Rattus norvegicus: one gene and its partners. The protein of the gene in region 1 binds, or shares a complex with, the protein of each later gene. Links are inferred from orthologs where the notes say so. Each region holds a gene or a part of one and is shown on either strand. Other genes may lie near its edges.

Region 1 (3,500 bases):
GTGCTCCAGGCTGGTTTCGCGTAAGCTCACAGGAAGCGCTCGCTAACTGCTTCCGGAGAGGGTTTTCTCAGACAGTGAACAACGTGGAGACCGGCGTCTCAGGAGCTTGGGTTTGGCCGTTTGCGGCGTCCATGTGCCCTGCGCTTTCAGTGAAACCGGAAAAGGTGTGTGAGACCCCTGTTTGTTCCTTCTGCGGTTTCCTCTTGACTTTCCGTGCTCTTGGGTTCTGAGACCATTAGTTACTAGGACTGCTAACTTGGTTACCGTGGCAACCACCACCACGCCAACCTCCACCAAGCCAGTTTGAATCTTTGAGGGCCAAGGAAAGATTTGCTTTAAGTCTCCTTACCGTATGCGGTGCGTCGATTTCTAATTCAGGTGTTATTTCAAGCTTTTTTCGCGGAATGGTTTTTTAAAAGCTTAAGCTGATTTTAAGGCTGAGAAACAAAATTTGAGGCTGACCAAGTCTTGGGAGATGGCTCAGCAGTTAATGGTGACTACTGTCAAGCCGGGTGAGTTCGATCCTCGGATCTAACTGGTAGAAGGACCCCTCTAATTTAGTCTCTGACCTCCACGTGTGCGCGGTGCCTTCCCCTAACAATAAAAGTGTAATGTTGAGAGAGAGAGAGAGAGAGAGAGAGAGACAGACAGACAGACAGACAGACACAGACAGAGAGAGACACGATATCTTTTGTGAGCAGGCTCCAGGTTCGATCTCCAGCACCGCGGAAAACAAAACAAAACAAAAAAAGCTGAGGCTGTACAGAACTAGGATAACGTAGGATTGCAGAAAGGAGGGACATTGGTGGAATTTGTAGTAACAGAAGCTTCAGTATTTGATAGATACGCAGGACAAGGGTCTTGAGCATTTTGACAGCTAAACCCAAGCCCAGTGGCATATGGCTGCTTTTGTAGAGTCATTTCTTTGCCGTGGCCCCCCTGCCCACCCCCTTGCGTTTTTCATACCGGCTAGTCTGCGTGTACTCTGCATTTCCCAGATTCTTGTCTTCACCTTTTCCCAGTCCTAACGTGGAAGGAAATAAGGTTGCTGCTGTGGTTAAGTTAGATAACGCACGGGCTAGTTATGTGGTTAAGTTCCGATAAATCCTAGCTACTGCTATTACTGCACTTGCCCTGTTGCATGCATTCTTCAGTTTGTTTCTGTGGCTTGAGCTTTTTACTTTGTAATTAAGGATGTGTCGTTTTTGTATGCACTTGATACATAGCTGTATGGTAAGGTATCCTTTTTTAAAATGGGTTTTAAAAATGATTTTTATTTTATCTTCTGTGTGTGAGCGTTTGCCTCGTATCTGCACACTACTCTATGACTCTTGAGGAGGTTGTTGGTTGCCCTGGAAGTGGGGTTCCAGAAAGCTCTGAACTGGTATATGGGTGCTGGGAACCCAACCCAGGTCCTCTTGAGAAACAGCAAGTGTTCTTGACTGGAACTTTAGTGTCAGCTGTTTCTGACATAGATTCAATGCATACTTAAAAAAGCAAGACACCTGACAGGTACAATGAGTTACTACTCAAATGACACTTATTAGACGAAAAGTCTAGCTTTCTGTACAGTTCAGCTGCCTGTGGATTAGCACCCTGAAACTAACTGACACTCTCAGTTTGGAATAGATGATGAGTGACTTCAGTGAAGAACTGACAAAGCTTGCTGGGGCTGAGGATAACCCAGAAACGTCAGAGTTCTCTAAGACAAGAATGCATTTCCCATGGCTTCAGAAGCATATAGAAGCAGTGGGTAAGTAACAACATTGAAACCTTTCACTTTACCGCCATGAAGTGCCAGGGGTGAACACAGGCGCAGAAGGAATACCCAAGCCAGTTCCTTCTTCTCTTTATTCCCCTTTTCATCTTATTTTATTATTTTATCTTAATTTGTTGTTGTTGAAACAGGGTCTTGCTCTTTGTCTCTGGTTTGCCTTGGACTCACTTATGTAGTTCAGGCTGGTTTAGAACTCATGGTTGGTCTCTTGCCTCAGCCTCAAAGCACTGGGATTACAAGTGTGAACCTTGATGTCTGTTTATCTTTTGAGATCAGATGGGAGGCTTTTCCTTTTCTTTCATACAGCTGTCAACAAAAAGAAAATTATAAGTGATGAGGATGATGATGATGACAATGATGATTAGGATGAGGAGGATGATGACGATGATGAGGATGAGGATGATGATGATGATGACGACAACAATGATGATGAGGATGAGGATGAGGATGATGACGATGACGATGATGACGACGACGACGATGATGATGATGATGAGAGTGTAGTCTTCCATTAGGCCAATAAAGGCTATTTATTTGAGCAGACATTTTGCCAGTTTCTGGGCTGGTTGCCTGGGATCGTTGGTGGTCTGAGCAGCTTGTGGAGCTCTGGTTAATTACAGAGTCTGCTTCAGGGAGCCAGCTGAAGCGAAGTGGTCTTCATTTCTAATTAGCTTTCAGGTAATTCCAGTCCTGCTGGGAGCACGTGAGCAAGGCTGAGTGAGGATCCCGGGGGGGTTAGAGTTTGCTTTAAATGGTCCAGGAAGTACCCAGTCTGTGCTGCAGACTCCTTCCCGCCCACAGCCCCATCAAGTCAGGATGACCAGCCCTGACAAGCCTGGAACCTGCTACCCTGACCAGATTGGCCTCAGATCTGCAGCTGTCCTCCTGCTTTCGTCTTGTGATTGCTGGAGTGACAGATGAGTCACCATGCCCAGATGAGGGGTGTAGTCTTCATCATGGTTCCCTTTACATGTCCCCTGTGCAGAGTCTCACAGTACTCATCAAATCGTCTTGGCAGTTTTAAGGTGTTATATAAATTGTTAAGTTTAATAGTTGCAAATGATAAAATTGTCACCACATGATGGATTTTTAAAATGAAGTTGTTAGTTGTTTTTTTCTTCTTTTTTTCGGAGCTGGGAACCGAACCCAGGGCCTTGCGCTTGCTAGGCAAGCGCTCTACCACTGAGCTAAATCCCCAACCCCGAAGTTGTTAGTTTTAAAATAGATCCAGTAAAGTCTTAATCATATAGAAATGTAGCATATTCTGTTACCACTTTTCAAAAATTGAGAAAAAGATTTTTAATAGATGGAAGCTTTTATTGATTGATTGATTAATAATTAATTTGGTTTTTCAAGGCAAGATTTCTTCTTGTAGCCCTGGCTGTCCTGGAACTCACTTTGTAGAGGAGGCTGGCCTTAAACTCACCTGCTTCTGTCTCCTGAGCACTGAGATCAAAGGCCTGCGCCTCTACTCTCAGCTAGATAGAAGGTTTAGAGTAAACCTTTTTGAGTAAGTGTATATCACTGCATATATACTTTTAATATCTTGTACATTGTAAGTATTAAAGTTTGTTTTGAGATGGGACATGACCGTAACTCAGTTCTCCAGCCATGATGGGATTACAGGTGTTGTACACCACATAGTTTGACTGTTCTATAATTTTATTTCTCTGGAAGAAAGACTTAACATCAATTCTATTATGTCTGTTTCAATTTCTCTAAG
Region 2 (4,030 bases), on another chromosome or scaffold:
TTTGATGTGTTTGGGTGTTTTGTATATATCTCTGTGTGTCCCTGCTGTGCTCACAGAGGTAAAAGAACCCCTGGGACTGGGGACTGCAGCCAGAGACAATTGTGAACCATCATGTAAATGCTGGGAATCCAACCAGGATCCTCTTTTGTTGTTTTGGAGACAAGCTCTTTTTTTTTTAATTGCCCTGGCTGTCCTAGAAGTCTAAACTAGCCTCAGATTCAGAGATCTGCCTTCCTGTCCCTCCTCTGCTGAGATTAAAGGTGGTGTGTACCACCATGCCCAGCTAAGGTGTGTACCACCATGCCCAGCCCCCAGCCTGGGTTTCCTTGGCCGTGGTAATATCCGTCTAACTCTCTCCTCTGTTTTTCACCACAGTCTCCATGTAGCCTAGGTCTGCCTCAGAACTGTGTAATACGTGTTTCGCACAGAGTAAGGTCTAAAATATGCGTCTAAAATAATGTACAGATCTTGTATTTTGTTCAGTCAAATCTCTCCACCGTGAAGACAATTTCTTTGATTTAAACAAATATGTACACGTGGGTTCTTGAATGTTCACAGAGGTCAATGCACAGTGTGTTTGCCAGAAAGGCAAGGTTGGCCGGTCAGCGAGTCCCAGAGATCCTTTTATCTCTACCTCTCCAGTGCTGGCATTACTATTACTATTATTATTATTATTATTATTATTATTATTATTATTATTATTATTATTATTATTATATCAGTACACTATAGCTGTCTTCAGACACACCAGAAGAGGGCATCAGATCTCATTACAGATGGTTGTGAGTCACCATGTAGTTGCCGGGGTTTGAACTCAGGACCTCTGGAAGAGCAGTCGGTGCCCTTAACCACTCACTGAGCCATTTATCCAGCCACCAAGTGCCAGCATTACTAACATCAAACTGTGCTTTTTACCTGGGTAACTCAGGCCCTAATATTTTACCCATTGGCTGCCTCCACTTCCAGTACCAGGGTTACATGCGCACACCACTATGGCAAGCTTCTTTCTGAAGGCGGTTCTGAGAAACCCGGCCACTGTTGGCCCCGCCTAGCTGTGCCCGCCTGTTCTTAGGGAAGCTTCAGACAGCTTAGGGCCAGGCGAAAGTCTACTTGCCTTCTAGCTGCGATCGTTCCGCTCGCTCACATGGGCCGCATTCGGCTCCCCCAGCGCGACTTCCGGGGCGGGCAGGCCGTGGCTTCCGGCGCAAGGCCCAGCGATCTCTCTGCCTAGGCCGAATGGCGGCCCCGCTGCTCCACACGCGCTTGTCGAGCGACGTGGCGGCTACGGGCTCTGCCACGCTGAGTGCGTCGCGGACTGGGTAAGATCTGGACGACCTCCGCCTGCGTGTGCGGGGCTCGAGCCGGCTGAGAGCGCTCGGGGTGTGACTAGGGCTCGGAGGGGTCCTGGCGTGCGGGCTTGGCCCAAGTGCGCAGGAGCCACTGGTCCTCTCTGCCCGGGCGAAGCTGCGTTAGCGAGTCTTGTCTGTTCCATTGTCTTCCACTCACTCTTGGGGGCACCCTTTTGGGACTATAGGCAAATCGTCCGCTCCTTTTTTCTTCCCTCTCTTGGCTAAGACGTGGACGGCATTTCCAGGGTTTTGTATATCCAGGGGAAAGCTGTCACTGGAGACCTATTGAATCGCCAAAATTTTGTTTGAAATTTGTTTCTGCAGAAGCGAGCAGTAGCATAGTGGAACCATATATTACCATATATTATCTAAGCAATCGGTTTTTTGGTTTTTTTGGTTTTTGGTTTTTTGTTTTTGCCTAACATTTAAAAATGCCTATTCCTATAAAACATTTGGAAGCTAATCTAAACAAAGTAAACCTTGTACAGAATAATAATAGTTGTTTATGAAGTATGTACATGCTGTGTTAAGAAGACACTGGGGACATTAGCTTATCCAGAGACTAATGTTCTCATACTCAACAGAACTGGAGGTGGGGAAGTGGGGGTGGGCAATAAACGGATAAGATAGTTTCAGGTATAGTTTCAGTAAATGCTGTGAAGAACTACAACTTTACAGCAGGATAAATAAAGGGTGAGTGTGAGAGGTTCTGGTGAAAAAGGCCTCTGACATTTGAGCTCCAGCCTTGTGTGTGTGTGTGTGTGTGTGTGTGTGTGTGTGTGTGTGTGTGTATGAAGGGTGTTTCTAACAGTGAGTAGCAAGTGGAATGGGAACCAGCTTGACAAGTTTGAGGAATAAAAAGGACATCATACTTTTAACAAACGATTGTATCATGACATCAGAGTTAGGAAAGGTGGATGGTTAAACAGGATCTTACAGGGTTAATATAGGAATACAGAGGTTTTTTTTTTTTAATTCTATTTTTTCCCTTCCCTTACTCTTAAAAAAAATAAAATAAAATTTGAGATCTCACTCTGTAGCCTAGGTCTGCCTCATCTTCCCAAATGTTGCTTTCTAAGTATTAGGAGTTTGAGTTTGAATTCTTATTGTAAGTGCTGCAAGAAGACAGTTTTAGTGAGTGAAGAGTGGATTCGTGGGGGAGAAGGTTGGAAGCAGGTATATATATCATTTAAGAAACTTAAACCTCATCACACAAAATGATGTTGGTTTAGTAATGCTTACTGTTGTCATTCTCTGTCATGAATTTAACAACTGGTATTCCTGGTTCTTCAGGCTTTCAAACATGCTTGCATTAGAGAGTGATTTCTTCAGTTCTCCCCCAAGAAAAACTGTTCGGTTTGGTGGAACTGTGACAGACGTCTTACTGAAGTACAAAAAGGTATGAGGAGATCTGGGCTTTACCTTGATAGGGTTTGGTTTAATGGGTGCTATACTGAAGAGCAAACTATCAAGACTTTGCATTCCTCCTGAGTACACCCCCAAAGCAAACAAACACAGCAGTAACAGAACAAGGTGAACTTTAGTGTTTATGTGTGCATTTATGATTTACGTTTCTCAGTGGTGGGCACTGGAACTAGAACCTTGTCCACACCAGGAAAACAGTTCTAGTTGAGCTCCGTCCTTAGGCTAAAGATAAATTTCACTCCGGGCTTGGTGGCTTGTGCCTTTAATCCTAGCATTTGAAGGCAGCAGGTGAATCCCTGAGTTTGAGACTAGCCTCTGTCTAAAACAGAGGTTCTCAACTTTCCTAATGCTTTGACCCTTTTAATACAGTTTCTCATGTTGCGGTGACCCCCAACCATAGAATTATTTTCTTTGCTACTTCATAACTGTAATTTTGCTATGGTTATGACTTATAATGTAAGTATCTGTGCTGTCTGATGGTCTTAGGCGACACCAGTGAAAGGGGTTCAGTCCCCAAAAGGGTAGACATCCACAGGTTGAGAACTGCTAGACTAAAAAGATGGAATGGAGGGAAATATTTAGTGAATATTTAGTGAAATAGAATATTTAGTGATGTGCATGATTCTGTAAGCTTAAAGGTAACCAAAACAAGTGTGGTGAGGTTTAAGACTTAAAATGCCGTATATATCTTGAAAACTAGCAAGTGCTAAAATTAAAGAAGTTAGAGTAACTGTTGTTCGTTTGTGTAGCCCTGTCTGATGTCTAACTCCAGTCTTCTTGCCTTAAGCTTGGAACTACACTTACTCTGATTAAATAGCTTTGTATTCTTTTGAGATGGCGTCTTCCTGTATAGCTCTGGCTGGCCCAGAACTGCTTTGTGGCCTGTGCTGGCCTTGAACTTATAGAGATCTAGCTGTCTTTGCCTTCTTACTGTGTAACCCCATGCCTGGCTCTACTAAACCATCCCCCTTCCCCCACCTTCTTTCTCTTCTCCAAGACAGGGATTCTCTGTGTAGTCCTGTCTGTTCTGGAATTCTCTTTTTAGGCCAGAGACCCGCCTGCCTCTGGCTCCCGAGTACTGGGATTAAAGGCATGGACACCATTGCCCGGTACCATTTTATCTCTTCAGGAGTTACCTAAGCTTTACTGTAGAAGAATACGTTAGCGATCTTTGGTTTTGTTAAGTGCTTCTTCTAGATGTTGTGTTTTATAATTTCCACATAGAGCAATACATTTAAATAGATGCTATCTAAATT
Region 3 (3,962 bases), on another chromosome or scaffold:
TTATTACACAGAAGAGGAAACAACATTTACTCAAGGCGTTCAGTTACTAATTGGCAGAAACAGATTTCAAAAGCAGATTCAAGCCAGGCATGGTGGTGCACAAGTTCAGTTCCAGCACTGGAGGCAGAGGCAGGGGCAGAGGGGTGCAGAGGTAAGAGGTTCTCTGTGAGTTTAAGGCCAGCCTGGCTTATGTATCAGGTTCTTGGACACACAGAAGAGAGACGTGTCAAACAACAGCAGAATGCACTCTATCCCAAGCTGATTCAGCGGTGAAGAAACAGCCCCTCAGCTGACCAAGGGAGAGTTCAGATAGATCCTGCAGCACCTATGATATGAGAACTGACCATGCTTCAGCTTCATTTTCCTCCTACACCGGATGTCTTCTCTCCTCCAAGTATGCCACACACAGTAGGTAGTTTATTAGCTAATTATTAAGTATTTATGATATACCAGGCTTTTATGATATACTAAACTAGCAGGGTTCAAGCACAAAGGCTGGCTCTACAGCTTTGCAAATAGTACAGTCAGCCGCATAGGATCCTATATTCATAAAGATCTAACCACACACACAGGCTTTTGTTTGCTTTTTTGTTTTGTTTTGTTTTTCTCGGTGGTGCCATGCACACTAGGCAAGGTCTCTATAATCCAGTTTTATCTCTAGGCCAACGACTTTACATTAGAAATGCGTTTGTCTGTGAGAACTTATGGGACAGTGAAGTATGAGCATGTACGCCCTCTCATCAGACCTTGTCACCCACTGAATAAGGTGTTTGTAATCTTCCGTTAGAACTTAAGTCCACAGAGTGTCCGTGTTGCAGGATCCTACAGACTGTTGGCAAACTGTACAAGGAACGAAAAGTAGAAGTGAGGCAAGTGAGTACAAAGCTACACTACACAAATACATAGCACAGGCTACCCTTAGTCTGACAGTGAACTCTGCGTGCTCACCACAAGTCGATGCTCACCTGACCCGCAGTGTCTTGGAGGAATGCCTTGCTTGCACTCAGGAGCACAGGTTCACTCTCCTGCTTCTATTTTCTGATAGCTTCAGGCCAAGGGAAGAGCCGGGTACCGCCCCTCCCGGAGGCCCGCCCATCACAGAGTCCGCACGCATAACCACGCCCACGGACGTGCCCTCACGCGAGATTTCATCCTAGTCCTAGTCAGGCTGCTGGGCGCGAGAGCGCTCTTTTCGGCGCGGCGAAAGAGGTAAACGGTTGTTCGTCTGGGGTGCTCCGGTCTACGGCGGCCGACCGGGCGGGGTCGCCGGGACCGCGGGGACCATGGGGGCCGCAGGGCGGGCTCCTTAGGCGGCTGTCCGCCCGGAAACGGCGCTCTCGTAGGCCTAGGAGCAGCGGAGCGGGCCAGGCTCCGGCCTTCCGCAGACCGCGCGAGGCTCGGAGTCGCTGTTGGGAGAGGCCGAGGTGTTCTGGGCCTGGAAGGCGTTTTTAGTGTCTTTAAGCGGTCGTGTGCTGCCTGCCCACATATCTTACGTGCTTAAGTAAGGGTCTTGTCAGCCGGCCCACGGCACAGGTTGGACTCAGCTCACCACGTGGCCTCCAAAGCTTGCAGTCGCGAATTTGAAAGGAGCATTCAGGTAGGAGTGGTTCCTAGATAGGGTTCTACAGTGATTATCTTCGGATCTATCCACAGGTGTATAGTGGGTGCAAAAAGGCCAACCTGAAATTTCAGTTTTGATGGGTTAATTTAAAAAGGCAGTTCATGCAGTGGGTATTTTGCAATCTAAGGACATAATCACCTGTTTTTCTTAGCCTTGAAAACTGTGATTAGTTTAGTTCTAGGATTTGTGTAGCCTAAGTTAACTTTTGAAGTTTTTTTCTCCTTAGCACAAGTGGCCCTCTTACCTACTTCTTACTTTTACACACGTGCATGCAGTGCTCACAGCCCACAAGAGGGATATCGACTCTCTTAGGAATGGTTACAGCTATTTTTAAGCTGCCATGTGGGTGCTGCGAGTCTAATCTTAAGACCATTGAAGAGCTCTTAGTCCATTGGCAGTACTCTTAACTACTAGGCCATCTTTCCAACCCTAATCTAAAGGTTCTTGTACACGCTGTTAGTATCCCAACTACCCGAACTGATGCTTATTTTAGTGTCTAGTGGGCAGCCCAGATTGGAATTAGAAATGCTATATTACTATGTGAGGCTATGTGGTGGTTAAAGCAAAGTGGGCAGATTTTTAGAGAGAAAACAAACTACATTGGAATGTGGTTTGCTTCCACATTCTGTGGAATGTATGCTATGTGTGTGAGTACTCTGGAAGGCAAAGTGCCGTAGCCTCATGGAGCTGGAGTGAACTGCTTACAATCGTAAGCAACCCGTTGTGGGAACTGAAATCTGGAAAAGCAGAGGAGCTCTGCTTAGCTCACTTAAGGGCTTCAAAAGTAGATCTGAAATGTAGGATCCATAGGGATTTTTACAGAAACTGACATAGTGGTAAGGAGTGTGTTGAACTTTCTATTAGAATGCTGTGTATGTGAAGGGGCATCATTGAAATTTGTAATTGCAGAAAACTGGGTAAAGCAAAGTGATGGCTCAATCAGAGGTGGATTCTGTTGACTGTGTGACATCGGATAGAGATGGGGACATTGGAAATCAAAGGTAGGTAAACTATAGATTCAGTCCAAATGTTCAATTTATTTTGAGGAGGGTCTCAATAAATAGAGCCATGGCTGACCTCACCCAGATAATCCTGCCTATCTACCTCCCAAGAGTTGGGATTAAAGGCATGTCACCACACCCTGCAGTCCAGCATATTTGAGTGCTGGGGAGTTTTATTTGTATTGCTTGTCCATAAAACATGGAAAAGCTGAAGATTAACATATTATTAGCTTGACTAATCGTTAAAAAAACTGTCTTGTGGGGCTGGAGAGACGGCTCAGCGGTTAAGAGCACTGACTGCTCTTCCAGAGGTCCTGAGTTCAATTCCCAGCAACCACATGGTGGCTCACAACCATCTGTAATGGGATCTGATGCCCTCTTCTGGTGTGTCTGAAGACAGCTACAGTGTGTTCATATGCATAAAATAAATAAATCTTTTTAAAAAACTGTCTTGTTTTATATAAAATAGTAAGGACACGGTGGTTAACTGGTACTGAGTTCATTCTGAAATGCTGGGTATGATTTTAGGGGATTGTACTTGGAACATGTACTTTTAACATGTTTTTTAGAGTGGATTGCGTGTCTATTCTGGTGCTCTTAGGTGTGGGAGCTGTGAAACTGAAGGGATGCATGATTGTGAGCTGCCTGGGAGAATGGCCTTGCCACTCCTGGGGGATTAATTATATCTAGTGGTAATTCAGTAATGCAATTTAACTTTTGTTTTAGTGATGACTCATCCAATAGCAGCTTATTTAAAACACAGTGTGTTCCTTCACCTACAAGAAAGCAAAGAATCCCTACTGTGAAATGTGTTCCTTCACTTGCAAGTGTTGAAACAGATTCATCAAGTGACTCTTCTCTAGAACCAAGGCCTTTGACTTTAAAGGCTATTTTTGAAAGATTTAAGAAAAAGAAAAGGAAAAAGAGGAAAAAGAGAAAATATAAGCCAAAGTTAAGACGACAAGGAAGACCATCTGGAACGAGGAACATTAGAAGGTCACAAATAGATGCAAAACAAATTAAAGACAAAGGAGCTGTGTTTCCATTCTTAGAATCTGAAAGTGGAAGAAAGACTTTACCTTGGAAGAAAATTTTAACATATGAGGTGAGTGATTTTTTTTTTTAATGTAGGTGAATACATTAAGTAGGATGGAATGGTTTGTTGGTCATTCTTTTTTCTTTTAAAAGATTGATTATATATAAATACACTGTAGCTGTCTTCAGACACCAGAAGGCATAGGATCCCCATTTCAGATGGTTGTGAGCCACCATGTGGTTGCTGGAATTTGAACTCAGGACCTCTGGAAGAGCAGTCAGTGCTCTTAACCACTGAACCGTCT

The links. The genes of interacting proteins can lie anywhere in the genome.
Region 2: Taf1a (region 1) and Rrn3 share a complex: the UniProt entries of both Homo sapiens proteins name them as parts of the pol I pre-initiation complex. The link is inferred for Rattus norvegicus from reciprocal best matches to the Homo sapiens genes TAF1A and RRN3.
Region 3: Taf1a (region 1) and Taf1d share a complex: the UniProt entries of both Homo sapiens proteins name them as parts of the transcription factor SL1/TIF-IB complex. The link is inferred for Rattus norvegicus from reciprocal best matches to the Homo sapiens genes TAF1A and TAF1D.

The regions. Positions count from the first base shown.
Region 1 is NC_086031.1:97,560,772-97,564,271, forward strand, and holds part of Taf1a (TATA box-binding protein-associated factor RNA polymerase I subunit A), read left to right. Parts: exon of another isoform or gene 1-131; coding exon of another isoform or gene 132-164; intron 165-170; exon of another isoform or gene 171-512; intron 513-1,615; exon of another isoform or gene 1,616-1,619; 5' UTR 1,620-1,629; coding exon 1,630-1,753; intron 1,754-2,083; exon of another isoform or gene 2,084-2,455; intron 2,456-3,500. UniProt on the Homo sapiens protein: Component of the transcription factor SL1/TIF-IB complex, which is involved in the assembly of the PIC (pre-initiation complex) during RNA polymerase I-dependent transcription.
Region 2 is NC_086028.1:2,669,496-2,673,525, reverse strand, and holds the start of Rrn3 (RNA polymerase I-specific transcription initiation factor RRN3), read left to right. Parts: upstream 1-1,230; 5' UTR 1,231-1,236; coding exon 1,237-1,319; intron 1,320-2,642; coding exon 2,643-2,748; intron 2,749-4,030. UniProt on the Homo sapiens protein: Required for efficient transcription initiation by RNA polymerase I (Pol I). Required for the formation of the competent pre-initiation complex (PIC).
Region 3 is NC_086026.1:20,426,814-20,430,775, forward strand, and holds the start of Taf1d (TATA box-binding protein-associated factor RNA polymerase I subunit D), read left to right. Parts: upstream 1-1,162; 5' UTR 1,163-1,209; exon of another isoform or gene 1,210-1,597; intron 1,598-2,530; 5' UTR 2,531-2,551; coding exon 2,552-2,622; intron 2,623-3,348; coding exon 3,349-3,727; intron 3,728-3,962. UniProt on the Homo sapiens protein: Component of the transcription factor SL1/TIF-IB complex, which is involved in the assembly of the PIC (preinitiation complex) during RNA polymerase I-dependent transcription.